Lonchura striata: one gene and its partner. The protein of the gene in region 2 purifies or fractionates together with the protein of the main gene of each other region. This does not show direct contact. Links are inferred from orthologs where the notes say so. Each region holds a gene or a part of one and is shown on either strand. Other genes may lie near its edges. The genes, in order: MIF4GD and SLBP.

Region 1 (14,931 bases), on a different chromosome or scaffold from region 2:
GAGGAGCAGGTTGATGATAACAGCCGTGGTTTATCCCTTTCCCAGGTGCCCGTCCCGCTGACGGACAATCGGAAGCGCTTCCTGGCCATGAAGTGGTTGATCACCGAGTGCAGGGAGAACAAACACCGCCGGACACTGATGCCAGACAAGCTCTCCCAGGAGCTGCTCTTGGCTTTCAACAATGAGGGGCCCGTCATCAAGAAGAAACATGTCCTGCACAAGATGGCAGAGGCCAACCGGGCGTACGCCCACTTCCGCTGGTGGTAGGGACCCTGCCTGGGACACGCTGCCACGGCCTGGAGAGCAGAGCCCCAGGGCTGCCAGCCTGGGACAGGGAAATCTGGAATATCCCTTGCAGACAGCTTCTGTTCTAACCCAGGGAGAGCTCACACGATCCCCATGAGGTTCACTTCTTTGTGCTTGTTTAGATGGGGGAAGGGGGAATCAGAGTTACCAGCCTCAGCGGGGCTGCTCCACTTAGTTCATAATCACTTCCCTGTGAAGACAAGCCTTACGTGTTTTTCTTACAACAGCGCTAAACAAAACCATCTTTCACTTACCTGTCTCATGAGGATCTGAAAGTCTTTCTGTTCCTCAAATCAGCAACGTTTTTGGCTGCAGAGCTGGATCCTCTTCCACAGGGATGGATACAACAGGCAATAAAAGGCTCGTTTTGATTTTTAGTTTTGCCCATCAGCAACATGGTCTGCACAGATTTGGTGGGAATGTTGACAAAATAAAACTGGTTTTATGGGAAGTGTTTCCCAATTCCAGACCTTTGTCTCTTTTGCTCCAGGTACCCTGGTTGTGTAAAACCCTGAGGCCCTAGACTGGAGCAGACACCGACTTATCTCAGCCTTAGGGCTTCAGTCAAGAGCAACCCTTCAGTATTGCTCAGAGCTCAGCAGCTGTGCAGGGAGAAAGCAGGGCATATGTTAGTGGAAAACTTTTATTAGAAAAAAATCCTTCAATAGACTATTTTGTTTCATTTCTTCCTCTCCCATTCTTATAAGAAATATAACATAGCTGAAACTTGCAAAATTCTGAAAAAAGTGACAGTTATTATATAAAATCTATAAAACCCATTCCTACATGTGCTCAAGGACCTCTTCTGTCGCAGGATGCCCTGTGGCAGGTATTCCTGGCTGTGGAAGAGGCTGTGTGCATACAGGTGTAGCCAGCCTGTTGGAAGGAGTGTGGGAATAAAAGCACCTGGTTGTGCTGTTTGTGAGGCCATGGTGTGTTCTGTGACCCATCCCAGAGAACCAGGTACAGCCTGAGCTGGGATATTTCCCTGCTGCCTCCCACAGCTCTGCTGGCTTTGGGGAAAAGCAAAATGTTCTCAGCCTAAACTGTGCTTTCCTTAACACTCATAGAAAATGCTGGTGTGAGCTAGAAGCCTCCCAAGCCCTTTGCTGACAGCAGCCCAATATTAAGACAAAATCAGTGGGAGAACTTGCTGGGTGAAGTGTGCTCTTCCCACTGCTCTGAACCTCTGAAGTCAGACCAGCACCAGCTGCATCTGACAGTAAGTGCAGAGAGGCTCTAGCTAGTATAAATCCTATTTACAGGGAGTGCTAGAAAATTAATGTGAAAAATTCCAAATTGGTATGAAGCTTGCTGGTGGAGGTGCTGGGGATTCCTCTGTCTTGGGAGGTTAATCCGTCACTTCACTGTAATAATATTTCTGGGCAGCGTCCGTCATCTTCCAGTCAGCAGCCCGGAACTCGATGATCTCCAGCAGCAGGAGCTGGGACAGGGAGCTGAGCCCCTCCTGCAGAAGGAAGCCATCTCGGAGCAGGGAGAAGAGCTCGTCCATCCGCTGGGAATTCATCTTCTCCAGCTGCTCACCGATGCGGTGGAGCTGCAGGACCAAGCAGTCCACCTTCAGAAGGAAGAGCAGATGCTGAGCACAAAGCAGTGGAGGCTCCTGTGCACCCCCCGGGCTGTGCTTTTTACAGGTCCTTGGCAGGACAGCAGGCACATCAGCAGCTCTCCCTGCACTCACCTCCTCCTCCTTCTGCAGGCTGTCGGGCTGTGCCAGCCGGAACAGGCAGTCGTACACGGGGTTCACCAGAGCCATCATGGGCATGTTGTTCACCTGCAAGGAGAGTGGAGCGTTGTCAGCCTGGGGCCAGAAGAGCCTCTGCAGCTATTTTAAATAGTTATTCCCTTGCTCCTCTCCGAAGGAGAAGGAAGCAGGATTGTGCTGTATTAGTGGGATTTACGTCAGAGATCAGACATTTGAGTCTCCAGGAACCAGAGCAGCTGAACAAATGATGTAAAAGACATCTATTTTTAAATGTAAGCAGGTAGTCATGGGAAATACACTTGTTCCAACAGTATTTTTCCTGCCTGCAGCTCTACTTGCATCGTTTTTACATCTACTCCAAGCAGAAATTCAAAGTTCACATACTGCACAAAGGCCTGAAGCCAAACTCCATCAGCAAACCCCACAGCAACTGAACGTACAAAATTAGGAAGCTGAAACTGTGACTGTTCCTGAAAACTTCCTCTGCCTCTCCAAGCCTGTAGATAGCACCAGCTCTGTCAGCATCCTTGTGCTAAGAACCTGCTCTGGCCCCCATGATCCTGGGGCTCTACAACACCCACCCAACACTCCTGCTCTGGTATCCTGGAATGCCCAGGCCCTCCTGGCACTCCAGGCAGCAGCAGCTGGCTGCTCCAGCTCCTTACCCTCAGGTAGTCGAAGATGTTGCAGATGAAGGTGACGTAGCAGATCCAGGCCTGCAGTGAGCGCGTGCGCAGCTCCTCCCTGTCCTTGTACTCTTGCTGCAGCCGGTTCAGCAGGCTCCTCCGGAAGATGCTCTGGCCAACTTGTTTGCTCTCTGCCTATAAGCCCACAAAAACAGGATGGATGGATGAAACAGGGGTGCCAGAGGGGCAGGGGGATGCAGTATCACACAGATACCCTTCTGTGATTCTCAAAGAGGCAGAAAAGCTGCAACTTGCTGCCTGTGCTAGCCCATTGCTCTTCTGGATGCTGCCACTGCATGAAGCAAGTGGCAGGACAAGAGAGATGGGCATGTGACTGGGGCAAAGCCCTTCCTGGCCAGCCCAGGGACAAGCCACACAACAGCCCAGGTGTTTCACTGTCCTGACATGAGCTCTCACCTGGATGATGGTGTAGCAGATGCGCCCAGCCTCCTTGCTGAACACAGAGTCTTTGAGAGACTGGTCCACTATAATATTGGCCACTTTCTCCAGGTCCACATTACTGGGGTCTGCAGAGAAGAGGAATACTGTTAGGACCTAGCCCTCTTTGGACCCTGATTGCTTTGAGGCACCTGGAAAGCAACCAAGGTCTGTGCAGGGGCCAGTACAGTCACATTAAATGGTGCAGAAGCCGTGCATGGCAGAGGAGCTCATAAAAACCTGCTGACCTTTGAGGGCTGTTTTCAGCAGCTTCTGGGTCTCGGAGTCGAAGGACTGTATTTTGTACTCTTCTTTGCCTGTTTCCCCCATGACTGGTTTTTCCAAGGGCAAGAGTCAGGGCAATGGATGATCTAGTCACAGTTCCTGGGGAAGGAACACACAGAGCTTAGCTGGACAGAGGCAAGCTTTCACCCATTTCCCATCCGGCACATCCCAGGTAGTTGAAGCACAGGCTGTTTCCTGACAAGGAAATTCCTCTTTTATTAGGGCACCAACTCTAGATCTATGCAAATCTTCATTCTCACAGCTTTCAAAGCCTTGTCTCCTACCAGCTGATGACAGAACTTCAGAGGCTTTATATTTTTCTGATATAAAAAACATGTTACAGGCAAAGCAGACTCAAAATATATGTGGCTGTATCACAGGAATGCACACGCTGCTCCCTTGGGCCTTTCATATAAAAATCTGGGAAGAATCAAAGTCAGTACAAAAGCATCGAACTCACACTCACCAGAGCACCTCTGCTGCACCACAGCCAGGCTTCCTCAGCTCCTAGCACGACACAGCAAACTCAGCAGCCAAATCCCCAAGAGCAATAGCTCCCATCTCTCTCATCCCTCTGCAGCACTAACGTGCTCCTAATGAGTATCTAGATTGATTTTCTTCTGCTTCATGATATGTTGAAGACAGCAAGAGGGTACGCACGGCACAGAGAGGAAGGACTTGCTTTGATTCACACAGGATCTGATGGATGGAAATGCAGGGCTGGCCAGACCGGCAGTACAAACAGGAGAAGGCAATCGTCCAAATGAGTTTTGCCAACTCGTCGAAATTCCTCGGCTATTACTCACCCCTCTCTGCAAACACGTCCCTACCCAGATCAAAGCCCAAGAGCCTTTAGGGGCATGGGACAAGTACCGTGGGCAGTCCCCTCACGTAGAGCATAACAGTAACTCAGAGGAGAGAGCAACCCCACCTGCCGACGCTGCTCTCACAGCCAAAGCTCTCACCTACCCTGTCACTGGGACAGAGGTTTCTTTCCCAGAGGGATTCACAAGCAGTTGGGTGCCCTCCGTGCCATGACTAGTTGGCAAACACCTTCCTAGCCGACCTCTCCTCTCTGTGCATCTGCACTCATGCCATGCTGCACTGCCAGTGGAGCAGCCCGAGATCAGCAGCAGCCCCGTGTCCCACCAGCAGCATCTCCACGCAGCAGGACCCCGGCGAGAGCGCAGCGCCTGAAGCAGCGCAGCGGGAAGCGGCCGAGCCCGTCCGGCAGCGTCTGTGCCGCCGCCCGGCCCGTCCCGGGGCTTCCGTTCCTGGGATGGCCACGGCTGCTTTGAACTGCTGTGCCAATAACCCTGCCACAGCAAACCACGGCGTGTGAACACTGAGCCAGCCAGGTCTCGCCGGCAGTAGAGACCCTCCTGTCAGCACCACCTTATCGGAAGGGCTGGTGGCAGTGGGTGACATGGGGCAGCTGTGAGTACCGACTGCTCCTCTGCCGCTGGCCCCTGCTAGACGAGCGGTCCCGGGGGCTGACACGGCTGGGGTCAGCACCCTCAATCTGCCGGTGATCCACCAGCTCAGGTGCCAGGGCACCTGTGACCTGCAGGGTCACACCTGGCAGCATGGGCTGGACAAGTCCTGGCCACTGCAAGGAGAGGGAGAAGAGCAGAGTCTCCTCTGCCACCCCATAGTGTCTGCAGCAGGGGCTCTACCAGTCCCCGGAACCCCCAGCGCATCCCCGCCAAGCCTCAAGTGGAACCCCCAGCATCGAGACGCCTCTTGCCCGGGGCAGCTGGACCACCGGACCCGCCTCCCGTCGCTCCAACCCCGCGGTTGGCACAAGCCCAAGGGGCACCGGACGGAGGAAGAGGCGGATCCCGGGGAAAGCAACACCCGCGCTGCCCCGGACAGGGCAGGGGGAGCCGGGCGCCGCCCCACCGACCTGCCGGCCGCCCCCGCTGTGTCCTCCGGCCGCCGGGACATCGCCGGCACCTCCCGAGCCCCGCGCCCTCCCGGCACGGCCCAGGTTTCCTCTTAGGTCATTTCCTCGGCCGAGCCGGGGGAGGGCCGGGCCGGGCCGGGCGGGAGAGCGGCGGCAGCTGCGGCAGCGCCACCGCCTGCGAGCGCCGGGCACGGCCGGCTGCTCCTCGGGAAACTGCTGCGCTTCCCGGGCACGGCCGGCTGCTCCTCGGGAAACTGCTGCGCTTCCCGGGCACGGCCGGCTGCTCCTCGGGAAACTGCTGCGCTTCCCGAGCACGGCCGGCTGCTCCTCGGGAAACTCCAGCGCTTCCCGGGCACGGCCGGCTGCTCCTCGGGAAACTCCAGCGCTTCCCGAGCACGGCCGGCTGCCCCCCGGCACCCTCCCGGGCACGGCCGCTGCTTCTCCGACTCTCCCCCACCAGGGGATCGCGGGCAGCACTCACCCCTCTGCCCCGGTTCCCCGCGGGGCTGTCCCGGCGCTCTACGGGTGACAACGGCGTGAATTCCGCCCTTCCCTCCGAGTCAGGGCATACTGCAGCCGAATGGTATAAAAAATGAGTAGAAAAAAGGTCAGGAAAGAGGAGAGGCACTAAACCAACGCACTGCAACAACAGCTGAGTATGGTATATAACACATTTCACGTTTTTTCTCTCAAATCTCAGCCATTTCATAAGGGAAGACCCCGCAGGGGGTGAAGCCTTCACCGCAGAGCAGGCAGGCTGCTGAAACCAGGGACTGGCTGAGGGAGCACAGAACGAACAGTTTGGGAATATTTTCTGTAGCACTACATGGCCTGGCTGGATACAAAGAAAACCTGAACTCAACCACCGGGGGTGTGAGGCTCAGGACTGACTATGACAGCTCCAAAAGCCCCTCTAGGACACAGCAGTAGGACTGGGCTGCAAACATCCCTCTTGGCTGATCCCTTTTGGTGCAGTTCTCAACAGCAACACCCAACAGAGACGGTACAGTTCTGCCTACGGCTGAGGGGCACCCACAAGCCATTGATGGAAAGTCCAAATAGCTCCTGTTGCCCTATGCTCTGGGCCCTGATTATCCTTCTTTTCAGGCAGCAGGAGGGCCACGATGTTCCTGCGGGGTCCAGCACAGGCATGAAGAGGAAAGGAATAAATCAACTGCAGCGAGCCACTGTATAAGAAAATATTTAAATTAAATTAAAATATTTAATGTACCTTGTCCACTCAGGCAACACAGCGAAGTGCCACAGTTACAGTTTCTACATCACAAGAGAAACTTAAATCCGAATTAAATACTATCTATTCCAGTCCCAACTGGAACATAATAAATGAATAAGCATTCATTTATTGTCAGAAAGGATGCCATGCAGCTCTGGATGAGTATCCTGAGAGTGGGACTGTCCTAGGAACTTGGTGAGCCAGCCAGCATTGCAGGAATCAGCATGTTCCTTGCAGATTTTTTGCATCTGAGGCTGGCTCAGTGCCATGGTGGAGCTGTAAACAACTGGGGCACAACTCCTCACCAACCCTCTGCCCGCTAAGGAGCTTTTGGACGTTCTCATGGTAAAAGGCACTAGCAGAAAACAAACTGCTGAGCAGCTTGTGAGGTGAACTGCAGGCAAATCCCCGATGATAGGATTAGCTTGGAAAGAAATCCCAATGGCCAAATCAGCCAAGTCTCACAGGGAGGCATTTGCCATGTTGAGTCACTTCACACTGAACGGGAGTGCACAGCTTCCAAGAGTATATCTGTCCCAGCACCTGGGAGAACAAGGTGTCCACACATCTCTTCCATTCCCTGCTCCTCTAATTCTAAGAGATTTAGGTCCTAACAGCATGTGTTTTACCAGAGCAACTTGAGAAATAAGACCTTTCCTCCTGATGCTTCATTCAGCTTCAATCCCCCAGAGAAATCAACACTCCTCTTACAGTGCTTTCCCCAGCAGTGCACATGAGAAATCTATGAGGGACAGGTGCTGCCGATCAGAGATGAAGAAGTGATTGTTGGATGCAGCTCCTAATATTGTTGAGGTTGTCACATCTTTCTCCTTCTCACTGGAAGCCCAGATGCCTTTATGGGCCTATAACATTTGTGACTCACAGCCTAAAGCCTCTGACCAGGGAGTGTCTATGGATATTCTCAGTTCAGTCAGAGAGAAAAAGAGAAAGATTTCTGCCAGGCTAAGCCTGGGAAAAAGTCTGGGAGGAATGTAAACAATTATTATCTCTCTTTCTGTTCATGTTGTTTCTGGATATGTTCTACCACCGTGTGCTGTTTTCACTTTGAGATCGACCATGTTTCACCTTAGCGATCCTGGTTATACAAGAGGAACACTACTTGTTAATAAAGCTCATTCTCTTCCATTCTGAAAATGGAGTCTCATTATTCCCATCCCTGCCTCAACAGCGACAAGTGTCTCTTCCACAGCCTGGGCCAGACAGGCACAACTTAAACTCTGGCTTTGCCATCTGTTGGGTGGAGGCAAGCTCAGTTAATGCAGAGTGAAGGAAAAAACAACCCCAGAGAGGAAAACCTGCTCCATATGCTCCAATGCTGCCCACACCAGCATCACCCTAAACTCCACAGCACCCTTGAGGAATGACATCTTAACAGAGCACAGGTTTTCCTGTTCTTTCCTGCTGCTGAGTTCCCAGCCAGTTTTGCCTTCTTTTGTGTGGTTTAACAGCAGCTCTTTGACAAAAAATGGAAAACAATTCCTGCAATGTTTAGACAGGATGGATGAGTCCCCATTTCCTAAGGAAGCCTAGGTCAGCACCGAATATTTTCTGCTCTGGCCTGCCCCTGCTAACCATGACGGCATTCCTCTCACCAGCAACAAAAGACAGTAACAAAGCCAACCTATTTATGTCTGTTTTGAAAAGAGACACTTCTCTCCCTCAGAAGGATGTCATGAGGCTGAGTTCATTACTCCTTATGATGTCTTTCCAAGAACAACAAGTGAACAATAAACAAAGGCTAAACATTGTTAAGAAGATTGAGGAATCTCAGAAGAACCTAAATAACACAGGAAAATGACAATAGGATTGAGGCACTAGGAGAAACTCCATATTTCCTGCATTTTCTGCTCTAAACAAAATGGCCATTCTTAGACTATACGCAGCTCTCTCTTCCTCTTTAAAAAACTCACATATTGACCTCCTGCCTGACACTGACACTGCTCAATGAACTTTATTTTACACAGCTCAGTCACCTGCAGGCCACTTTGTACTCCAAGGTCTCAAACTCATAGCAGACATAAAGTTATTTAGCCTGGGCTTGCAAGGAATTTCTCCAGATACTTCAGCCACCAGAGAAGCAGCTGTTTGTTAAAAACAGCCTCTCACAATAGCTCAGGGTAAGTGAGCAATGCTGATATGCTCAAAATTGCCAGGAGAAGTTGCGTCAATGGAATGGAATTGGTCACGCTGGAATCTGGCCAGACCATTTGGGATTAACACCCTGAATACTGCAAAAGAGCTGGGGAAAGCTCTGTGTTTAAAAACCATCAAACCACCCTCCAAATAACTGCAGTGCTCTGCCTTATCCACCCCTTGCAGATGACTAACATGCTTTTGTATGGCAGGGCTGGGAACTCTGCCTTCCACACCAGTCCAGCCACACCCCGCTAGGCTTAAAAAAACACGGCATAAAAGAGGAGGAAGAAAGTAATTTTCCTCTTTTCTACTCTTACGTAAATCAAGAGTTGTTGGTAGGTTGTTTTATTGGTTTTTTTACCCACTTGCAAAACCTTTGAAACTCCAGAAAAACAGTTTTCCATCTCTAATTCAATCATCCATGTGAAACAGCAACTCAGCCAGCCAATTCCCATTTGATGTTCATTCCTTTCACTTCAGCAAATCTTGTCAAAACATTTTCATCTGCTAGCACCAGTGCAGGACTCAGGTTCTGAAGTATTTTGAGGCCACTACAGAAATACTTGTTATACACATTCAGAGGTGATATTAAATAAATAATGATTTTTTAAAATTAATAGTTTCCACAGGACTTTCCTTTCATTATTCCAGCTTAGAATAAATATTTCTTAACTCTATACAGCATTTGTTTACTCACTGCTTTAAAGCAAAGAACCCTGAAGTAAAAATATAGTTTGTGCGTTGAATCCCCTCAGAGTGGGGCTCTCGATATGCAGGTTTGCTTGTAAAAAGTGTAAGTGAGGCACTGCAAATCCCTAAAAGATGTATGGCCAGACACTCAGGGAGAGAAAAGGGAATTCAGCATACAATCAAGTTCACTGGAGTTAAAGGAAAAACAAGTCTGATCCAGCATGATCAGAGACAATGCTGTGTTTAAGATGACAGAGAATGCTCAGCCAGCAAGTGGTGACCAAGAAGCAGCGACGGAAAGGAAAACTGAGGGTCTGTGCACTAATGTGGCTTTACCTGATTTCACACCAACAGGACAGAGAGACCTGTGCAACACCGAGACAAGAATCTGGAGCAAACAGCAGGCACAGAGCAAAGGAATAAAGCTGTGCAGATGCAGTGCTAGGAAGTGATGTTTGCTTGGTTAAGCAGCACTAGGCTGGGCCAGAATCCCCTCTCTGGGATCCAGGGTGAGCTCCGGGACGCACCCACTTTATTGGGTGCTTTTCCAGAGCACAGGCATTGCTAGGGAATGGTCTGTTGGTTCCCCCTCTCCCCACTAAATGTGCACTGATAGGAGACAGAAGGAAAGTGCTCTGTTGAATGGCTCCCAGCCAAGCAGTTCAGTGTCTCCAGCAGAACTGCAGTGGCCTTCTCCTTCTGTTTGGTCCCAGGAGGTGATTCCCCACAGGCTGGGGGAGCTCTGGGAGCTCTGACATTTCCAACATGCTCGTGACAGAGCAAGGCTATCAGTCTCCCCTCCTGAGGAGAACAGCAGGCAGCCACACACATCCCTTTCAGCCTTCCTTCCTCTTCATGCTGTCAGGGCTCTTCAGGGCACACAGGAGGCCGCAGAACAGCTCGTACCAAAAGAAGATGAGGCCAGAGGAGCAGGCAGCCTTCAGCAAACTGGGAGAGAGGCCTTTGAAAAACCCACCTGGGCCCTCCTCTCGCATGATCTGCCTCATGCAGTCCAGGAAACCCCCATAAGTCCGTACCTGAGAGAGGAATGACAACAAGGTTAAAGAAGAAAACTTCAAGACAACTGGAAAAAACCAGAAAGATCTCCAAACTATATCACAGAAACATTATCTTGACATGCAGCCTGGAGATGCCTTTCTGGATAATATAATAACTAACTGAAAGTTTCAGAGACAATTTAGAGAGAGCAGGATAGAGGAAATGTGGACATACAGCATCAGCAATGGCTTATCCACATCATTCACTGAATGGTTGTAAAACCTCTGCATGCAACAACAGCATGATTTTTAAATTTATGGCACAGGTTTGTGAAGTCATTATTTCAGATTGTGCAGCTGCTGTTTTCTATTCCCTTCACTGTCTAAGAAGGAAAAAATGTTGAGTTTTCTGACAGAAAGCACAGCTACAGCACGTAGGAGTTTCCCAATTAGCTGTCCGCATGTTGTCACATTACACTGTGCAGTTTTAACATCTTGTGACACATCAATGCTAAGAGCAAATTCTGCATCTTACTGCAAGAGGAAAAGCATCCAATGCAATGGGCTGATACATCAAAATGCTATTCCAGAGTTTCTTAGGGTACAGACTGATTTCCTTCTCAGATGCAAGGAATTTTAAGGAAAATAGAAAATTTCCACATTTTAGGGAAAAAAAAGAGAAAGTTCCTTGAAAGATCTATATCTGTCTTCAAATGTATTTCAAGGTGGTAACAGTGGTGCTGAAGAACACCAGAGTATTTAATTTGCTTTGAATTTCAGGCTATTCTCATATATAAAACACATGTTGAACACTTGGTGCTTATTTCTTGTGTCAAAATATTAATTGCAGAAGAGGAACCTGACAGCCAGGTGACCCAGCACAGATGACCCCAGTGTCATCCTCTGCTAGTAATTTGGTTCTGAGTCAGAAAAACCAAGCTGTAACTAGAAAAGTAAAGTAAATCAAAAGCCCTTTGCCTGCCTGACTCATCCCCAGATTGGAGAGGGATGACAAGCCAGAGCAAAGGTATACTGGACAGGTCCCTCCTGGGACCCATCATAAAATAAACCCAGTACGTTAATGTATAAATTCACATTATTAAATGAGACCAGTGCTCGTTGGGAGCTCCCAACCTAAACATGAACTCAACAGGTACCACTGGTGGATTGTTGCTGCATTCCAGTGCACTGGACTAGCCCATAATCAGGAAAATCCACGACTTCCAGCATTTCTCACCTGCCCAAAGGCTGCCCGAGCGTGCTCAAAGCCACCCACTTGCAGTCGCTTTTTGACCACATCCAAAGGGTACGTGAGGCTTTTGCTGACAACTCCAGCACAGCTGCCACAGACAAGGTTTTTAATGTTGGCTGAGAAGCAGAAAGGGAAAAGGATAACAAGGAGGAAAAAAAGAGGATTATCAGGGAATTCTGATTAAAGATCATAAGAGGTAAGTTAAAAATCACTTTTCACAAGAAGTAAGGTTAAAAAAGTCCTTTGAAATTACATCAACTCTTCTGCAGTAGTTTCAGCCAAAGAATCTCACGCTGTATTTTTTCAGGCTTGCAATGCCTGTTGGAATCAGAGGACTCGCTCCTCTTGGTCCGTTACACTGACTTATGGTTTTGCTCTGCTCAAGAAACCACAATCCCCAGCCACCAGACAACTTGCTGCCAGTGGATGAGTTTTCATGGCCTCCCCCAGTAAAAGCCTGGTCAGTGGAAATCTTGCACCCCTGACTGCTCAGGCTGATGTATTCTGGACTGGAATATCTCAAGCTGACACTGCCTGATGATTTCAGAGGTTTGTGGGAAATGAGTTCTGTATTAGACTTTTTCCTGACAATCATGACGTCCCAGCACAAAACCACCATCAGCCTCTGCCACCTAAAATTAAATATACAGACTTATAGTGCAAAGTCTGTTCATCTGGTGAAGAAATTCCATTGAGGAACAAAGTCATGCTGCTTGTTGCATTCCTCTTGCTCAAGAAGGCACAGGTATCTAGAACTGCCAATGTGGCAGGTTGCATCAGGATGAGGTTCTCTTACAATGGAGCTAGAAATTAACACAAAAATATCAAATCAAGAGCCTGGCAGCTTTAAATTAGAGTAAACGAATCCTCGTCCCTGAGAGCTGTGCTGTAATCTGCAGGCAGATTAACTACAGAAATCCAAGAGTCCAGTCCCCACAGCACTAATGAAACAGCAAGATTATGGCAGGACTGTCTTCCCACAGTATCAGTAACGTGACACTGTTAAAGGAAGAGCACCCTGGCCTGTGACACTTCACTTTCCCATCCACCCACTTTCATCATGGTTATTGTACAATGGGAGCTGTTTGTAACCTCTGCTGTACTTAATTTGGCATTTCCCTGCAGGGGTAAAAATGAGAGGTGGGAAATTGAGACGCTTTTCAGATGTTGCATCAAAAAATGTGAAAGGACTAACAGAGCTTACATCAGTCACCCAAACTAGCACTCATTTCATTCTCTCTGGACTGCAACCATCACTGTCCCAAGTTCCTACCTCTATTCTTTGCTTCAGCTGGAATCGCCCATTTGGAAAACTGCTGCAGGATGTTGTAGAAGAAGAACTGGAGACCAGCATATGGGAAGATAGCAATGAGTGTGGGGGTCAAACCTCTGTAGAAAGTCCGAGGCCCTTCTGTCTGATACATGGTCACCACTGCATGGCGAAGGTTGAGGTAAATCTGAACAACAAGGAAGAGGCTGAGTGACTTTCCAGTGAACTTAAAAACAGCAAACCAAAGGTCAGGTCATTTCCCAGTAATTTCCCACTGCCCAAAATACAACTGACTGTGTTCAGCACAAAGTGATGAGCAAGGTGATTTTCCACACCCTCACAGCGTCCTCTGCTAAGCCCTTGTGACTTAACAGAAACAAGGCATGGAGCTGAGTCCTGAGACCACCTGCATCACAGACATAATTATTTCTCTTTTAACAGTTCTTAACTCCTGCAACACAATTAATATAATACATACTGTAATTCTGCTGCAGGCTAAATACAGAAATGGCTCTGATACAAATCTATCCCATTATTACACAACTAGTTAGCACAGAGACCAATTCTTGTGTAAATAAGAACACGAAGCACAGGTGAAAAGGTGACTAGTTTCAAGTAGCATCCCCATAATTATCTAAATATGACTCTAGTTTCAAAAATGCAACGTTCAACAGTCTGGGAAGCGGGTTCTATAAAACGCCAACAGCCAAAGCAAAAAATTGAGTTATCCTGTTAAAGACAGTTTCTCCTTTCTGCATCACCTGTCAGGATCAGAAGCACCAAAATTCAATTAGGAAAGCTGTGCCAACAGCACGAAGGATAACTTGGCAACAGTGCAAACACTGTCCGTAACAGCACCTGCTCCTTCATTTTAACCCACAATGCTTTCAAACCTCCTGCATCCTCAGAGCTGTGAAATATTGCAACATGGAGTGCTAAGCCTCACCTTTGGCTCACCCTGGGCAGCAAAGCGGGTGCGCAGCGTGTCCACAGGGTGGACTGCGACCGTGGCCGTGCAGGCAGCCAGGCCCCCACACACCAGGTGCACGAAGGAGTCGCGGGCTTTGAAGGAGGTGGCCTTGTGCACCAGCTCCGTCAGGCTCTCGAACGCCATGAACTTGCAGAAACAAAAGCACACGGGTCAGGAAACCGATCCTTATGACTCACACAGGTTCCCCACTCCTCTCTCATTTCACCAACAGCTCCACCCCTCCCCGCTTGTTACTACCTTCTATGTCCTTCAAAAGTCCTCCCAAAGTTGCAACGTGTAAAAATCACCAAGCACCCCAGGGAATGCTTGGGATACTCTGGTGTCCGACACTTCTGCTAATTCTTGCATTTAGAGTTGTGAAAAACTCATTTTAACGTTCTGTGGCTCCAGAAGATTGTTTGCTATATCACAGATATGCTTTCCTTTACCCTTTCAGCCACTGCTCCTAAAGCAGTTACTAATGTTTTATACAGTGCTGTGCAAAACACCCTCATCAGCTTCATTGATTTTTTCCTAACAAGCCCTTAGGGTGACAGCATGACTAGAAGGAAAAAACTGCCAAGGCTTGGGGCATGAACGGGTAAGCCAAATGTCAGGAGTAGACAGGGCTTATCTATGACACTAGATACAGACAGAGCTCAGTGCTCCAGTCTATTCAGTCAGCTCAGGAATATTAACTTGGGAATTATTCACCAGATTTATACAGCTATACATCCTTCCCATTCCTGAACACAGATGGTCTGAGGGAGCAGAGCAGTATCCTGGGTACACACAGTTTGCCCAGGTGATGCCTGGTGCCCTCACCTGAACAGCTCCGAAGCCAATGGAAAGGAACTGAGCAGGAACATGGCCCTTCCAGAAGGCTGTCAAGCCCTCCTCCCCAAAGATGCGCTGCACAGCTTGCAGGATGCCGTGGTACTTGGCCGTGGGGTTTCTGGAGGAGAGCTGCTCAATCTGGAGCTGGAGGAAATGGAGAGAAAATATTTTCAGTC
Region 2 (14,876 bases):
TGCTAGCAGGAAATGAAGAGTCACATGTAAAAGTAAAGGCAGTTCTGTTTATTTTCCAGCAACATCCCACGCAAAAGCAACAGAAACACGAACTGCTCTCAGCAGAAAATCTGTACAGTTGGTAACATTTACAACAGTTTTACATTTAAAACCAGAAAACTGAAAGAATCAAGCACTTTCCCTAGACATAGTTTTCTTGACTGCATTAATAAGTGACTGACGACTATTTACAAATTTCAAATTAAGGCTGCTACTTCTTAAAAAACCCCAACATTATTGCATAGACTTTACTATGTTGACCTCCAATTTCTTGAGGGTATTAAACTTCCAATTGTTTCTGAAACATTTTTGCAAAAAAAGTGGGTTTTTTTAAGGTAAGGTAGTTAAACTTGCAGTAACTGCAGTAGATGGGCTTACTAGTGCCAATCAGCCACATGGTTCTGTACCATGTGCATTACTTCAGGTCAGGTCTGTTACAAGAGCCATGTGTAAAAGCAAGGTAACATTAAAAAAATATCCCCCTACTTGGCTCTTGAGCTGTAGGGGAACAACTGAAATAATGTTCACAGTGGGGAAAATTGGTAAGATCTTGTGCTATTTCTTATTACTAGAGGATAGCACTGCCATTGGCTAGTTTTACTACTGAAAACTTTTATAAAAAAAATCTGATATACATAAATTAAAAGTTAACAAGAAGTCACACAACTTAAATGCAATTTTACGTAGAGTCTGGTCTGGAGAATATCTAGACCAATCACAGCTTTGAGAACAGTCTTCAACTTTGCTTAAGCTTTCTAATTATTAACAGGTTATGGATCAAGCTAACCTTTTAAATTTAAAAGAAACTTTCTCTAAAACAGGTTGCACAAGACTATTTAACTCACAGTATCAAATTCTTTCAATGGCTCACTTAAACACACTTCCAGGTCAAATTCTCCTTCTGCTTGATAGTCAACATGTCTAACTTTGGTGGGAGTGCCAGAACAGGTATCCTGGAAAGGAAAGACAATTAATTACTAGTTAAGTAGAGGTTATTAGTACAGGTAATTTAATTAACTTCTGTAATTAATTTAGACCACCCTATAATAATAATAACAAATGCTTTAAAGGCCGTAAAAACTCAAGCCTAGTCTTAATATTAAAGAGATGTAGGCTTCTGCCCATCCATCCCATTTGAAAATACCTTGCAAGTGTTCCAAAGACCTATATATGCAAACATGAAAACATTGAAAAAATGGGATATTTTTAATGTGAGAAGACCATTTAAGTTCTAATTCTCTGAATTCAAGACTACAGACAGATAATGGCTAGAATTGAAAAATACACGAATTTCAGGATTGCTCAGCTTTATCAACAGTCCCTAAGCAAAGTAGATTATAGGAACTGTGAGGTATTCAGGCTGCTCTAGATATAATTCTAAGCAATGAACTGATTATTAACAAATAGTTATGCAAATGACAGATATGCTTACATCATTATCTTGACAGCTTGTTTGAGATTCAGTAGAATTGCTTCCAACAGATTCTGTCTCCATCTCACCAAGGTCAACAGGACAACTGTAAAATCATTTAGAAGAATATAGCATAAAATAAATTGATTTTTTTGGTGTTAAGATGCACTTTGTTGTGCAGTTATAAAAAAAATGGCCAGAGGAGAGCAAAGAGACTTACAAAGATTACAGGGACAGTGGTGGCAAACTGGGGAAAGCAAACAGAACTGCAGTACAGCTCAGTACTGCCAAAATGGCCAAGGACTGAATTAAGTCTTGAGACTGAATACTGCAACTTGTCAAAGACAAAAACCCAGTGCTCAAGCAATGCCTTAATGCAAATGTTACAGGAGAGGATTTTTTTTCTTCCCCCCCAGATGAGGTTTTCATCCATCTGTTTTGGAGAGATTTAATATCCATTATACACAGACTAGACCCCAGCATCTGAAAGTAGCATTTGGACACCAATGCACACAGCAGGGTTCTGGCTGAAGGACCAACTCCCCTCACACTGAGCAAGTAAAGGGAATCTAAAAGGAAGCTTTTATTTTAGATCCTATTGCTCTGCAGTAGCTTTAAAAATCAGCATTCCATTAACAAAAAACACTACTTTATTAACTCAAAACTGCCTGCTAAGAAATTAAGTTCCCTCTTTGTCCCCTTCATTCTCTACTGTCAGTTTTATGTCACATGTTGCTGATCAGCTGTATTGCTTTCTACAGAGGAAATAACTGGGGCATCACTCTACATCTTCTAGAGCTTGGGCTGTGAACACTTGTGGCCGTGCTTTGAGCTTGGGATGAGTTCACAATTCTCCCTCTCTGGAGAAGAAACATTTTATACCACTGTTCTTGACTAGCAAGTGAGAAAGTTTCCTGTACAATGGATTGGTCCAAGCTCAATATTCAGGAGACCTGCCATTAGTGAGAACTCTCCAGCCCTGTTCCTACCAGATAATTTGAAGACTGCTCAGAAAGAATTGGTTCATATCAATGATGTGGTGATTATTTTACAGAGCAGTGCAGAACTGGCTCTGCTTTCACCATTAAAAAAGTGAGGGATATGTATGTATGCCCTTCCAAGGATACTGGGCAAAGAAAAGGAAGCTACTGGATATTTTGACTGAGACGAAACTGAACAGCACTAAGTGTAGATAAATAATTAGGGGAAACATTCAGCACTCACTGACTTGCCTCAAAAAGAACTATGCTGAGGTGGTATTTATTTCTTAAACATGAGACTTCACATCATAATTTCTATAACAGCATCTTGCATACTCAGTACATACATTTCCTGCAGATCACATCCTCCTTCAGTTGGAGGATCCCAGGAATGCAGTGCAACTTTCCACAGTTTGATTTGCTGGTCCCATGACCTACGGCTGTACTTCTTAAATTTGTTTGGAGTTCTGGGATGAACTCCTGGTATACGATGGCATCTGTTCAGACAGAGATGAAAAATCTATCAGAGTTTTATTCACACATACATAACATAGCTTTAAATATTAACTGATTGTATGACTTATGAGGAAGACCAACATGTAATTCCTGCACTCAAGCAAAGGCTTGCCAGCTCCATACAAACTTCTTAGTTTTTCTTATTCCAAGCCAAACGAAATAACAATAGTAAAAAAGAATTATCATTCATAGATCTGAAAACTTAATTCCAAACTCCATAGCAACTGCAGCCTATTTTGTCTTGTAGTTAACTCATGAGAAAACTGACTGCAAAAAGCAGTTTCATTTCCTCTCACTGACAAGCACATCCAAAAGAACTTTCATTTCCATTTCAGCAGCATGAGGTATTTCTTATATAATGACTCATTAAAATAAAACTTTAAGCCACACCTCAGTTGACTGTTAGTGTGATCTAGCAGCTCAAAAATGTCTTAAAAGTTTAATTTGTAGATGCCTTCTATTTGAAAGTGTATTGGATACCAAGTTTAATACATTAATGTCCTTATAAAGAACAAGTATGACTTGCAGGTGGATATTTAGTTTTCTAGAAAAAAGCAGCTTACCTAGGAACTTCTTTAATGTATCTATCATATGCAATCGTGTTTTTGCCATAGTTTATCTGTTTTTGTCTTCTCATCAAAACCACCTCATCTGTCTCAAGCTCTACTGTCACCGTGGACTCCTTTGAATCGGAACTGAAGAAAAAAAACATTGCAGGTTTGGGACTACTAGAAAACCACTGACACTCAAACAAACCCACTTGTAAAAGGCTATAAATAAACATGCTGAAACTTTTCAAACAAATGCTTGGGGTGTTACTAAACCATGGTGTTGGAACAGACTTGAGATGAACTATTTTAAACTGTGTGTTTTAAGAAACAACACTGTGCAATAAAAATTGTTTTCAAGATTTTCCTCAGCTAAGGTAGAAATTTAACCTACCTTCCTGAGGAGGACTTCCTTTCTCTTGAAAATTCATTTATCAGGAGTTTTCTTCTGTGTCTGTAAGAATTAAAATCAGTTTTAAGAAATTATATACACAAAGAGGAACATGAGGGCTGCGCTGTCACAGCTCACTGTTAAATTAACTTTTCAGAAAAGCAGCAGCACCCCAGACATTGCAAAGACCTTTTCCTACGAAATGGATGTTTCAGTTTTCCCTTACAAACAATAAAAATACAAGGACTTTATTTTCCTATTTTCCCTAAAGCAACTTCTTATAGTAATGATAGGAAAAAACAGTCATTAGTGGAGAGTAATTTTAATTATTTTAATCTAAGAGATTCAGGAAAAGCTTAGTCCAAAAGGAAGATATTTAGGGATACATATTCAATCTCCAGAGATACAGTATCCCATGACATTCCTGCAGGACTCAACCCAAAGCTAATCTAAAAGCAGCAGACAAGAGGCTAAGGTTGACCTGATTTTACTACAGTGGTGAAGTTAAAAAATATAACTTGAAACAGGTTCTACAAGACAACTTCAATTTCTCTTCTTTTCACCACTTCCTCTTAAACACCCAGGGGTTACCTAGCGATTTCTTTGTGAACATTTGTCCTCATTTCATCTTCTTCCACTGCAGTTCCCCAGTCTAAACACCTGGAAAGGGGTCCAGGACCTTCTGGTGTTGTAAAACTAGAAAGGAAAAAAAAAAAATTAAGGCTCTGTGTTAAAAGCTTCGGTTATTGTATTTACCTCCCCTACTTACAGCTTGATACCTTAAATATAATCATTTACAGTACTCAAAATGGCTGTGACTACCTTGTGTTTTATTAAAATTTTATCACTGTAAAATTAAGCATCAATTGCGACTTCCACCTTGAGGTTGTGTGGTTTGTGTTGGGTTTTCTTAAAATTGATGTAGGTATCTATAGAAACCTACCACTGTAGCTTGAGAACCCAGCCCATGCTTTCAGTAACTTCCAGCTCATATTCTTCAGAAAATGGTACATGAAATACCAACTTTATCCATTTACTCACTTGTTTTCACTCCACTAAATGGCTTAGCAATTATTTATTTGATGACTGCAGACTCATTAGCTATATAAGAGATAAAAGTTGAGGCACAGAATTAAGTTGCAAAGCTAATTAATTAAAATTACACGATAGCACCAGGAGTTGCTCCATGTAAATATATGCCTAGTAGAGAAGGCAAAGGCACAAAACCATCCTATTTTAGCTAGGAAACTGAGAATTACAGTGCCTTTGCAAACTGGTTTAACAACTTTGCTGCAGCCCCTTAGCATCACAAGCAGGTTCAAACTCTTGCAGGGGAACAAACTCATATCCCCTCCCAACCACCTACTGCTGCCTGAATTCAGATTATTCAGTGTTTTCCCCAATTTTCCCTAAGTAAAACTCAAAACTGTATCCTAGAGAGCAGATCTGGAAATACTCTGGAGACTTTCCAGGATTCTGTGTAAACATGTCCCTTGGAGACAGGGGATTAGATCCATCTGCACCAAAACAGCTTCAATTCCCCCCTGCTCCCAAACTGGTTTGCACAACTTTGAACGTTTTGTTAAATTCAAACTTAAATTTATTTTTAGATGAAACCCAGTTACCAACTTGACAAAATTAAAAATCCCTATCAAACAGTACAGGTCCATCTGCAAAAATCTGTTCAAGCTCCAAGGTTTTTTAACTTCTGCTTATACCAATTTCTAGATTTGCAGAGAATGCAGGCCATGTTCAATTATTGCTCTCCTGTGGTAGAAAACAAACAGCAGAATCCCAGTTGGTCTCAGCTCCTGAGCTTTTTCCTCAACTCTTGTTTGATTCTGTACCTGTGCTGTGATTATCCAGATGACCCAGCCTCCATCCTGGTCCTCTTTACTTTTGAGAATTTTAATTTGGCATGGTTGGATTGGCATAAACAAAAAGTAGTTTTGTCAGAGGAAGAGAGCAATTTCAGTCAGAGCTCAATCCAAACTGAAACCAGGAAGTGTGTCTGCACAATTCAATACTGGGAGATACGCAGAAGTATTGCTTATTTATGTTGAAACTATCAGTAAAGTTTCATCCTCGTGCTGCTGTTCAACCAGGCTTTCTGGCATTAGTTTAAGCTACTCTGGATAGTGTAACTTGAGCCACTGACCAAGGTGTTCCCTGCTATTTGTCAGCAAAGGAAAGTGGGTGGGCACAACCCACCCTGTTTTCAAGAAGCCTTGAGTCAATCAACTGGGGTGTGGGAACAACTCCCATCGCAGATCGAAGAGATAAAGAGACCACGGCACGAACAGCTCAGATTGTCAATGTGATATAAAATAAGATACTTAAATCCAGCTGTGCTAGCAAACACAGAAGGCAGCGTTATGGGGTGACCTCAAAACAGGATCCCTCCACAAATGTGCTGACATATAACACAACTTCTTTGTACTCCCTTCAGAAACAGAAAATATATTATTTTTAAGAATCGAATTTTTGTAATTTACTTCAGTTTTACCACAACTGTTTGTACAGCCTGTATTTAGAAACGTAATGGGCCTGTACAATATTAGTCCTCGATAAATGACAGTAAACCAGCACAAAATAGGACATAAATTATCAAGGACATATTTCAAGAGGTAAGAATGAAAAATGCTGACTCCTAAGAACTGACTCGGAGATAAGAGCACTGCGCTCGATCCTTTTCCCTCCTTTAAGACCAGCTATTTATGGCCGATGAGCGATGATAACCAGGCAGGGCTTGGCAGAAGGGTCAGTACAGCAGCTCCTGGCGAACAAAGCGCAGGAAGCCGCTGCCACGGTCGGCACTGCTCACCTGTCCAGCCGGCTGTCCTCGGGCCCGGGCTTGTTTTCCTCACAGGCGGAGGATTCGGGCTCGTTCTGCCTCCGCCGCCTCCCATCGGCGCCGCGTTTCCTGGCCTGGGCCCAGCGCGGGGGGTGCTGCGGGCTGCGGACAAACAGGGACCCGGCCGGGCTCGAGGGCTCCGTCCGCCTCCGGAGACCGCGCCCGCTCACCCCTGCGCTCCCTCAGCGCGCCGGGCCCGAGGGGCTCCGGCCGCCCACCCGCAGCGAGCCCGGGCAGCGTGGGGGGAGCGAGGCCCGGCGCAGCCCGGCGGCCCTACCTGCTCCTCGTGCTGCCGTGAGGGCTCCTCTGGCGGAAGGACATGGCGCGGGGATCCTCGGCGCGCAGCGCTGCGGCAGAGCTGAGGCGGTGAAGGAGGGCCGGGCGGCGAGGGGCTGGCAGGCGAGGGGCGGCTGAGGCGGGCGGTGAAGGAGGGCCGGGCGGCGAGGGGCTGGCAGGCGAGGGCGGCTGAGGCGGGCGGTGAGGCAGAGCCCAGGGAGCGCTGCCGCCTTCCCGCTCGGCCCCTTCGCATCTCCCGCCGGCGCTGCGCGACGCGCCCGCTCCGCCTCCCCGCGGGGCGCCTCCACGGGGACGGGAGCAGGGGGGGGGGCGAGCGGGAAAGCGCCGCGGCCGCCCCGCGCCCGTACACGCTCACGCACGTCCCCACCCCCCCGGCAGGGTAATGGCTCAGCCCGCTCCGCCCGGCCCCGCCCCCGGGGCGTGTTGGCGGGAGAATCGAGCGCGGCGGCGCGCGGTTTTGGCGCGCGGCGGCGGCGGGACTCGCGTGAAACAACGGGGGGAAAATCCAGCCCAAACAAAAAGAAAAATACAAATTCCCGCGATTTACGTATGAAGGATGACGGTCCCCGGCAAGGCTGTACAGTCGATGAAGCGCACAGGGTAGTTGAAGGGCCAGTTCAAACCCTACACCAGACAGTTACCACATAAATTTCAGAGTGACGTGGCTTTAAATTCTGCATCAATAGTGAAGAAGGCTGGGTAACGACACGAGGCGGTTGTGCCTTGGTTCGTGGACCTTTCTGGGGTTTTTACTTGCGCATGCATGCCCAGTGAGATCCCACTGGTCCTGCTATTGGGAATACGCTCACATTTTAGAACAGTAATTTAGAAACAACCTGAAGAACTCCAGCAGAACACAAACAGCTTTTAACAATAATACATTTGCAGCCTGAAGACTGGTGGGACACTCCAGAGAGATGGTTTTCTTCTGGCCTTACAATCACAGGATTACAAAGGTTGAAAAAGCCTTACAAAAACAAGCTCATTAAGGCTGGAAGAGTCCTCCAAGATCAAGTTAATCATGGTTGTCCATGATTAACGAGGCACTGCTAAGTCCATTGCTAAACCATGTCACCAGGTACAACATCTGGTAAAACAGATGGCAGAAGCAGCAAACAAAAACTTGCTTGGTGGGTTTCTTTGATCAGCTTAAAACACTAAAGCAACTATCTAAGTGCAGCAATGGTTTTGGAGAAACTTTCAGAGCACACAGTAACAGGTGGTGTTTGGTTTTGATTTTTTAAAATAAAGATACACTCCAGCCTTGCTATGCATTAAGGGATTTATTTTGAAAATTCCATTCCTGTTGCCTAGCCTTACTGTGTTATATTTTGTACAAACTCGCAGATCTTCTGTGTGGCATCTGCATGAACATCCACATTCCTGCAGGAAAGTCTGCTCTGCTGGCACCTCTCCTTTCCCACACACTGCTATGAAAAAGAGAACTGTGTTCTTGAACCAAGGTCGTGCTTGAAATACAGCAGAGGTTCAAAACATGCACAAACTCCCCTCCCTTCAGCCTGGCTCTGACCAGCTAGACCAGCATGTTTACCTGAACACACCCAAGCAAGGCAAACAGGACAGTTACAGCCTGGAAGCCACACTGTGCTTTTAGCACCACACTAGCTACAAATTGAATTCAGTTTATCCAGTGGAACTATCTCCTGGGACACAGCTCAGAGATTACAGCTGCACTGCATCTTTCTGTCCTTGTCAGCAACAAAAGTCCTTCAGAGAAGCAGTTTCACACCATGGTGGGAGTTTAAGGGGAGGAGATATCCTCAGATGTGACCTCAAAGGAGTTTTAGAAACAAAATAAACTACACACAACCCGTGGCATTTCAGAACTGGCTGTGAAGGATGGTTTCCACAAGCACAGATAATGTATCATCTATAAGGAGATTCTCCCAGTGGAAGCATGCCAACAGAAGATACTTGTTATTTCTAGGAAGAAATTGAAATCTGTCTGCTGAAGTTCAGGGTATATTTTGGTTTAATTATAAACTAAGCACAGATTTATGCAGAGATTTAATTAAGTTGTGTAAAATTAAAAGGAAAAACTGGGGGTGGAGTGCCAGACTTCTGCTTCGCTTACCTCAGTTGCAAACTGTGCCAGACAGCCTTGGGTAGGTAAACAAGTGCATGGACAGGCAGCATTCCAGTTTTGACTGCTCTATTTAGTCTAATGAGGTTACTAATTAGAACACAGGATGATTTTACACCCAGTGGCAGCACTACATGCTATGACTTTAGCAGACCTCAAACTTCATCTGCTGTTTCATTCCTTCCCTTGAGGTACCATAGCTTGTTCAAGCACACAGAATCTGGATTAGGAAATAAATCTGCCCAAAATTCAACTGCCACAGGCAGATTGGTTATGCTATGTCTAGTCTAATGCCTTCAACCAAGAAATACAAAGATCTTTTAAGGACTGCTGAATTGCAAAATCCTATGGATGTATACCTAAAGCCGTTGCAGGCCCTGTCTATCATAGGCAAAAGCTCTTCATACTCAAAATACTTCAATAAATACTTAAGATGAGTTTAAGTATTTCTTAACAGCCTATTACTCTCACCTAGCAGTTCCATCTCCAGCAGGACCCCTTTCCATGGCAGAATGGGTGCTGGGACTTCAGCTTCTCCCTCCCACTATGTTACAATGCATTAACACCGAGGGGCTGGACAAAACCAGAATTGCAATCCGCCTTCAAGAGTCTAATTTTAATCTCTGAAGACTCCTCTTTTCCCCTTTTAGCAAGGACTAAAATCCAAAATCACTACCCAAACCAAGCAAACACCCTAAAACAAACAAGAAAGAACTAATGAACCCAGATATTCCTTTTATAATCAAACTGACAACACAACTGCAAAAACAGACTAACAAGGATTTTTAAAGTTCAAGTCTTTAATTCTTCTGCTTAAAGGCAAATTGCCAAAAATGTAACACATTCCCTTTATTTACAAGCACCATAAATCGCAAGGAAACATGCACACTGGAACAACAAGGTTCTAAATATTACCTCTTAGAAAAGTGCTGTACAGATGTGTCCCTCGTACACATATGCTCCGTGCTCTGTGGTGTGTGACTGATACACCCTTGTGTTAGGCTGAGCATGCCTGGAAATAACATTTTGGGAGGGAGAGTAGTTTCTGAGGAAGCAGCTGGCTTCAAAATCAGCAGCACAATGGGCTCTTGGCCCTGGGTACTGCCAGCCCTATAGCAAGGGAAAGTAAAACCAAATTCCTGCAGAGACAACTCCCAGCTCTAGCAGCCACTGGTATCCCAGTACATGCTACACAAGGATTGTAAAATTCTTGTAACTGGCACGTGAATTTAGTCCAAACCATGGTAGCCACAGCTATCACTTCAAACTTCTGCACACAGTGTTAACAGAATAAAAAAAAAAAGGAGAGCCTGTCCCAACACCATCACAACCCTTACCCTGGACAAGAGCAGCTCCACACCTGCAAATACTGCTATTCATCCCCAATAGTTGTAGGAACAACAGGCACTGAATGCATCCTCTCCTATTCTTTAACTGTAGACTGGCTCTTTGGGTCAGGCTGCAACACACATAAACACAAAATCCAGGTATTTAAGCTGTGCTTCTGTTCTAACAGTCACTCAACCCCTTCAAGAAAAGGATCTGATTTTGATAAACCATACACCTTTCCTTTCTCTTCTCTCACCTGGCTTAGGCAAATGCCACCTTAATACATCTCAGAGAACAATAAATAGGCCAAATGGGTGATCACCCAACCCAAAAATTATGAATAGCTTGTCTTGAATGACTGGAGGAAGGCTGAAATTATGTACATTCTTTTGAAGCAGTTCTTCAGGCTGCATATCCAATTCTGGTCCAGTGGAGCAGAGGAGGTTCCTTGATTGGAGGGGTTGGATTTCAGTCTGACTTGACACTGGACCATTCACTGGTAAAACATCAGCACACCCTGAGGAATGAGACTTCCAGAGGGAATGGCAGAATCCATCACCTGAAGCAGCCTTTGAAAAATAATGCACATGTCACCTGCCAACGCAGGCACAGCAGAAATGTCCTCACAAAAGCTTTAAGGAACATCCATTGTCATTGCAGCACAGGTTCACGAAATCTGGAGTTTTACATTTGAGGCACAGCTTGCAGAAAACAATCTATCCTTATAAAGATCTGGAGAAACCTAAACAAAAAAGCAGGTAACAGCATTTTATAAACGTGCTATATCCAGCCCTTAGCAACAAAATATTTCCCTCCTTTCCTCTTTTAAGCTGTAGTGTTACAGTAGCAGTAAATGGAAGAGAGCACTGCACATGGTGAGCTTATAGCACAGTATAAAGGAGAAACTCATACTGTCCATACTAAAGGAAGTATTACAGCTAGTATGAACATTTTGAGAACATAAATTACTAAAAAAATACAGTACTAGATACCCTACATTCATAAAGTATTTGTCAGAGACAAGGAAGCAGTTGAGCCTATTTTTCCCAACCCCTTGCATCGTTTTCATCTAAATGACATTATTAATTCATAAAACATGCTTTTATCTTGATTCTAATTAACAAATTTCTGACACATCTTAAGTATCCTATTGACTAAGGTTTTTCCTTAGAAATCAACCAGACAATTTCTGTCTTAAACAGGAATAAATGTGAATGTTTATTTTAGCAAAAGGGAAGGTAGTGTGGAATTCTACCATGTAAACCACTATCTGGTTTTCAAGCAAGATTAAACTTCCACAGATAAAGTTCCTGACACTTGAGAGTTAGAGCTCATCATGCCAAAAAGCCAAGGCAATGCTTCTCTAAATACTGATCTTTCCATCCCAGAAAGCCAATGTGTTGCTCCACAGAGAAAGTATTCACTTTATACATTCTACATCTAGCAGAGCCCTTTTTTCAATTACAATATTTGATTACAAACCCACTCCTTATATACACTCCTTAATACAGCCTTATTTACAACAAAGACCACTGCAAAAAAAAAGATAAATATCAACTATGTGGGAACCAGAAAGACTCTTAACTGTGATGTAGAGAGGCTTCTTTTACCTGAATAATTTCACCTTATATTGATTGCACGTATGCTGACTGCAAATCTCTTTCTCTTCCAGTCCAGATCCTACATGACAGCAGCAGTTTTCCAAGACTTGATCTGATCTCAGACTACATCCTATTCTTCAAGTCTTTTTCTGCCACAGGAGAAATTATTTCTTCAATACTTCTATATACAAAGAGAGACTAGATATTTTCAAATATTGAATTAGCACATTAGAAAAGTGAAAGCATGTTAAATCTTATTCATGCTCAAAAAATTTAAATCAAAAATCAATAAAGTCAAAAGAAAAATGTCATCAGCATAATTTTTTAAAAGCTCTAGCTGCCTTTTTCTCACATTGCTATAATCCAAAATCTAAGTGTAAAACTAATTTTGGCCACGTTCTTAATGAGTTTTATAAGACAAAATTTTCAAAGATCACTGATTAATAGACATTTATAACCATGTTTAATAGCCTGCATCAAATGTAGATCAAAGACAATCTAATTACACAAAGACTAGCTTCTAACAAAATCTGTTTAACCCAGATTACCACCCATCCTATTAATGCATCACAGGAACCTACAGTCCAAGAGAAAATTTTCACTAAAATCTACTGCTGCAATTGCCAAGTTGTTACTTCTTCACAGAAATATTAAGAGACAGAAAAGGTGCTATTGAAATACTTAAAAAAATTGGCACTTGTCATTTGAGAGATAAAAAAAAACATTTTCGGGCTGACAGGTAACAATTTCAATTTAGCAAATGGAAGCATTATGTCTTTTAATTAAGGTGCTGTATTAAGTGCAAGAGAATGGGATAAAACACTAACAAAATAAAAGAAAAAAGGATCTACCTGAACAGTTGCATTCTGTAGAATGATACTGTGGGTAGGCGACTGAAACAGCACAGATCAAGTAAGCAGTCAGCAGGAACTCACCTTGGGATTTAGATTTTTTTCCTCAGTATTGTATCTTCAGCATTTGCACTTTCCAATCCTCTGTCAGGGTATTCTGACTGATACCCATCTGATAAACTGCTACAAAGTTTAAGCCTACAAATAAAGAAACAAAAAAACAACGATTAATTTTCTTTATTGTGGTAACTTTAATAACTAAATACAATAACAATCCATTTATGTGGTAACTCAAAATGTCTCTCAGACATTTTTAGAGGTTCCAGGCCTTAGTCAGAAGCATTTTAGACCCTGGCAGACAGCTGAAAAACAGCTGTGATTTTGAATTTGAGCCATAGAATGAATTGCCAACTTTGGAGGTGGAACAAGCAATCACAAAAGGTTAGATAGTATAGTAAAAGTAGTTACAAAGTAGAGGGGAAATTTTTTTAGTATTGTACAGGGGGGTTTTAATACTTGTACAGGGGGGTTTTTACCTTATACATGGGGGTCAAAAGTTCTAAGATGGAGGAAAGTGGGCTGATCCTGTCCTTCCTCCTTCTTTTTCCTTACCTCCATGTTCTTGGTGATGTTAGCACTCACAGATTGGTTTAGAGTAGAAAAGCACTTTGTAATATATGTAGTAGGTATTGGGGAAAACTATAAACATGTAATATGTAATATATCATATAAAAAACAGCAGCAGCCCTAGGCGGGGGGAGAGACGAAGAAGACAGCAGACAGAGAGGATGTCAGTGTGTGTGTGCCTCTACCCAGGCCACTGATCAAATAGCTGCAGTCCAAGAACATAATCTGTTAGATAACTAACAATAAACTGCCTTGAGACCGAACAGCTAAAGCCTGTGGAGTTTTTCTTTGGAAGCACGGGTTGGAGGAGGAATTTCACCACCATATGAGACCCCAGAGCAAGGCTGGGGTTCTCACACATTTATATTAACACAGCTTGTAACATGAAAACATAAGGCCAGAATTTACCACACATATAGATATAAATAAACATATAAATATTGATCAAGACATCCCTAAGATAAATAGTGAAAAACAGCTAATTAAAAAATAAAATCAAATGTTTATAACAAATCCTTAGATTGAATTACAGCAAGAGAGCAACTAAGCAACTAAAATAACATACAAAAATGCCTCTCAAACCCAGCTGATGAGCTGCATTTGATACCTCTCCAGCCTGAAGTCTGTATCTCTCCAAGTCTTGCTGTCAGGCAGAAAGAAGCTGGATTTCTTCTGTTTTGGATGGTTCCATCCTGAAGCACAACTGGGTGGAATTGAGTCACTGCATAAAAACAAACAACTATCAGAGGGGTCACTAGAAAACAACTTAATCTCTAGGGAGACAGACAGAGGAAGCTTCCAGCTTTTAGACTGAGCAAGTGAGAGGCAAACTTCCAATTCTTTCAACAAGTCAGAGTGTGAAAGGCACTCATCATTTTGCATCATTACCTGGGATGGCAGAGGCAGCAGAAAGCAAAAGAAGGAGATTCAGACTGGAAAAAGCCAAGTAAGCTCAAAGAACAGAAACAACAACCAAACATACCACATGCTGGAGGAAATGTAAGAAGGCAAACAAAAAAAGTAGTAGTAACCAGTGAATGAAAAGATGAAAAACAAAAGGAAAGGACACCTTTATAGCATAGGCAGCAAATTGAAATAACAACATAATCACTGGGGAATTTACCTTGTTATCCCCATACTTTGCTGTACTGTCATTACTTCATCTTTTTCACCAAAGGCTTCCCACTTTGAGCACTTTGAAAAAGCATCCTGATGTCCTGAGTCAGTAAGGCTGGAAAGGAAATGGAAATTTCTGAATCCATGCACTATGGTAACACAGTTCCTCTTAATTTTTCAGAAGGAGGCTAAGCAGAGAGAAGAAACCATAC

The links.
Region 1: the proteins of SLBP (region 2) and MIF4GD purify together in Homo sapiens (affinity purification with western blotting; 3 studies listed by BioGRID and IntAct, with this or other methods). This does not show direct contact. The link is inferred for Lonchura striata from reciprocal best matches to the Homo sapiens genes SLBP and MIF4GD.

The regions. Positions count from the first base shown.
Region 1 is NC_134621.1:5,308,636-5,323,566, reverse strand, and holds MIF4GD (MIF4G domain-containing protein), read right to left. Parts: upstream 5,468-14,931; 5' UTR 5,348-5,467; intron 3,541-5,347; 5' UTR 3,487-3,540; coding exon 3,405-3,486; intron 3,246-3,404; coding exon 3,136-3,245; intron 2,854-3,135; coding exon 2,698-2,853; intron 2,102-2,697; coding exon 1,658-2,101; 3' UTR 932-1,657; downstream 1-931. Other genes in the region: MRPS7 (small ribosomal subunit protein uS7m), read left to right, coding at 46-267; SLC25A19 (mitochondrial thiamine pyrophosphate carrier), read right to left, coding at 10,265-10,465, 11,664-11,794, 12,952-13,135, 13,895-14,065, 14,744-14,899. UniProt on the Homo sapiens protein: Functions in replication-dependent translation of histone mRNAs which differ from other eukaryotic mRNAs in that they do not end with a poly-A tail but a stem-loop. May participate in circularizing those mRNAs specifically enhancing their translation.
Region 2 is NC_134606.1:7,668,154-7,683,029, forward strand, and holds SLBP (histone RNA hairpin-binding protein), read right to left. Parts: upstream 7,268-14,876; 5' UTR 7,061-7,267; coding exon 7,017-7,060; intron 6,842-7,016; coding exon 6,710-6,841; intron 4,582-6,709; coding exon 4,477-4,581; intron 3,949-4,476; coding exon 3,889-3,948; intron 3,642-3,888; coding exon 3,510-3,641; intron 2,928-3,509; coding exon 2,778-2,927; intron 1,557-2,777; coding exon 1,472-1,556; intron 993-1,471; coding exon 876-992; 3' UTR 28-875; downstream 1-27. Other genes in the region: uncharacterized protein LOC110473273, read right to left, coding at 13,014-13,119, 14,156-14,269, 14,672-14,779. UniProt on the Homo sapiens protein: RNA-binding protein involved in the histone pre-mRNA processing.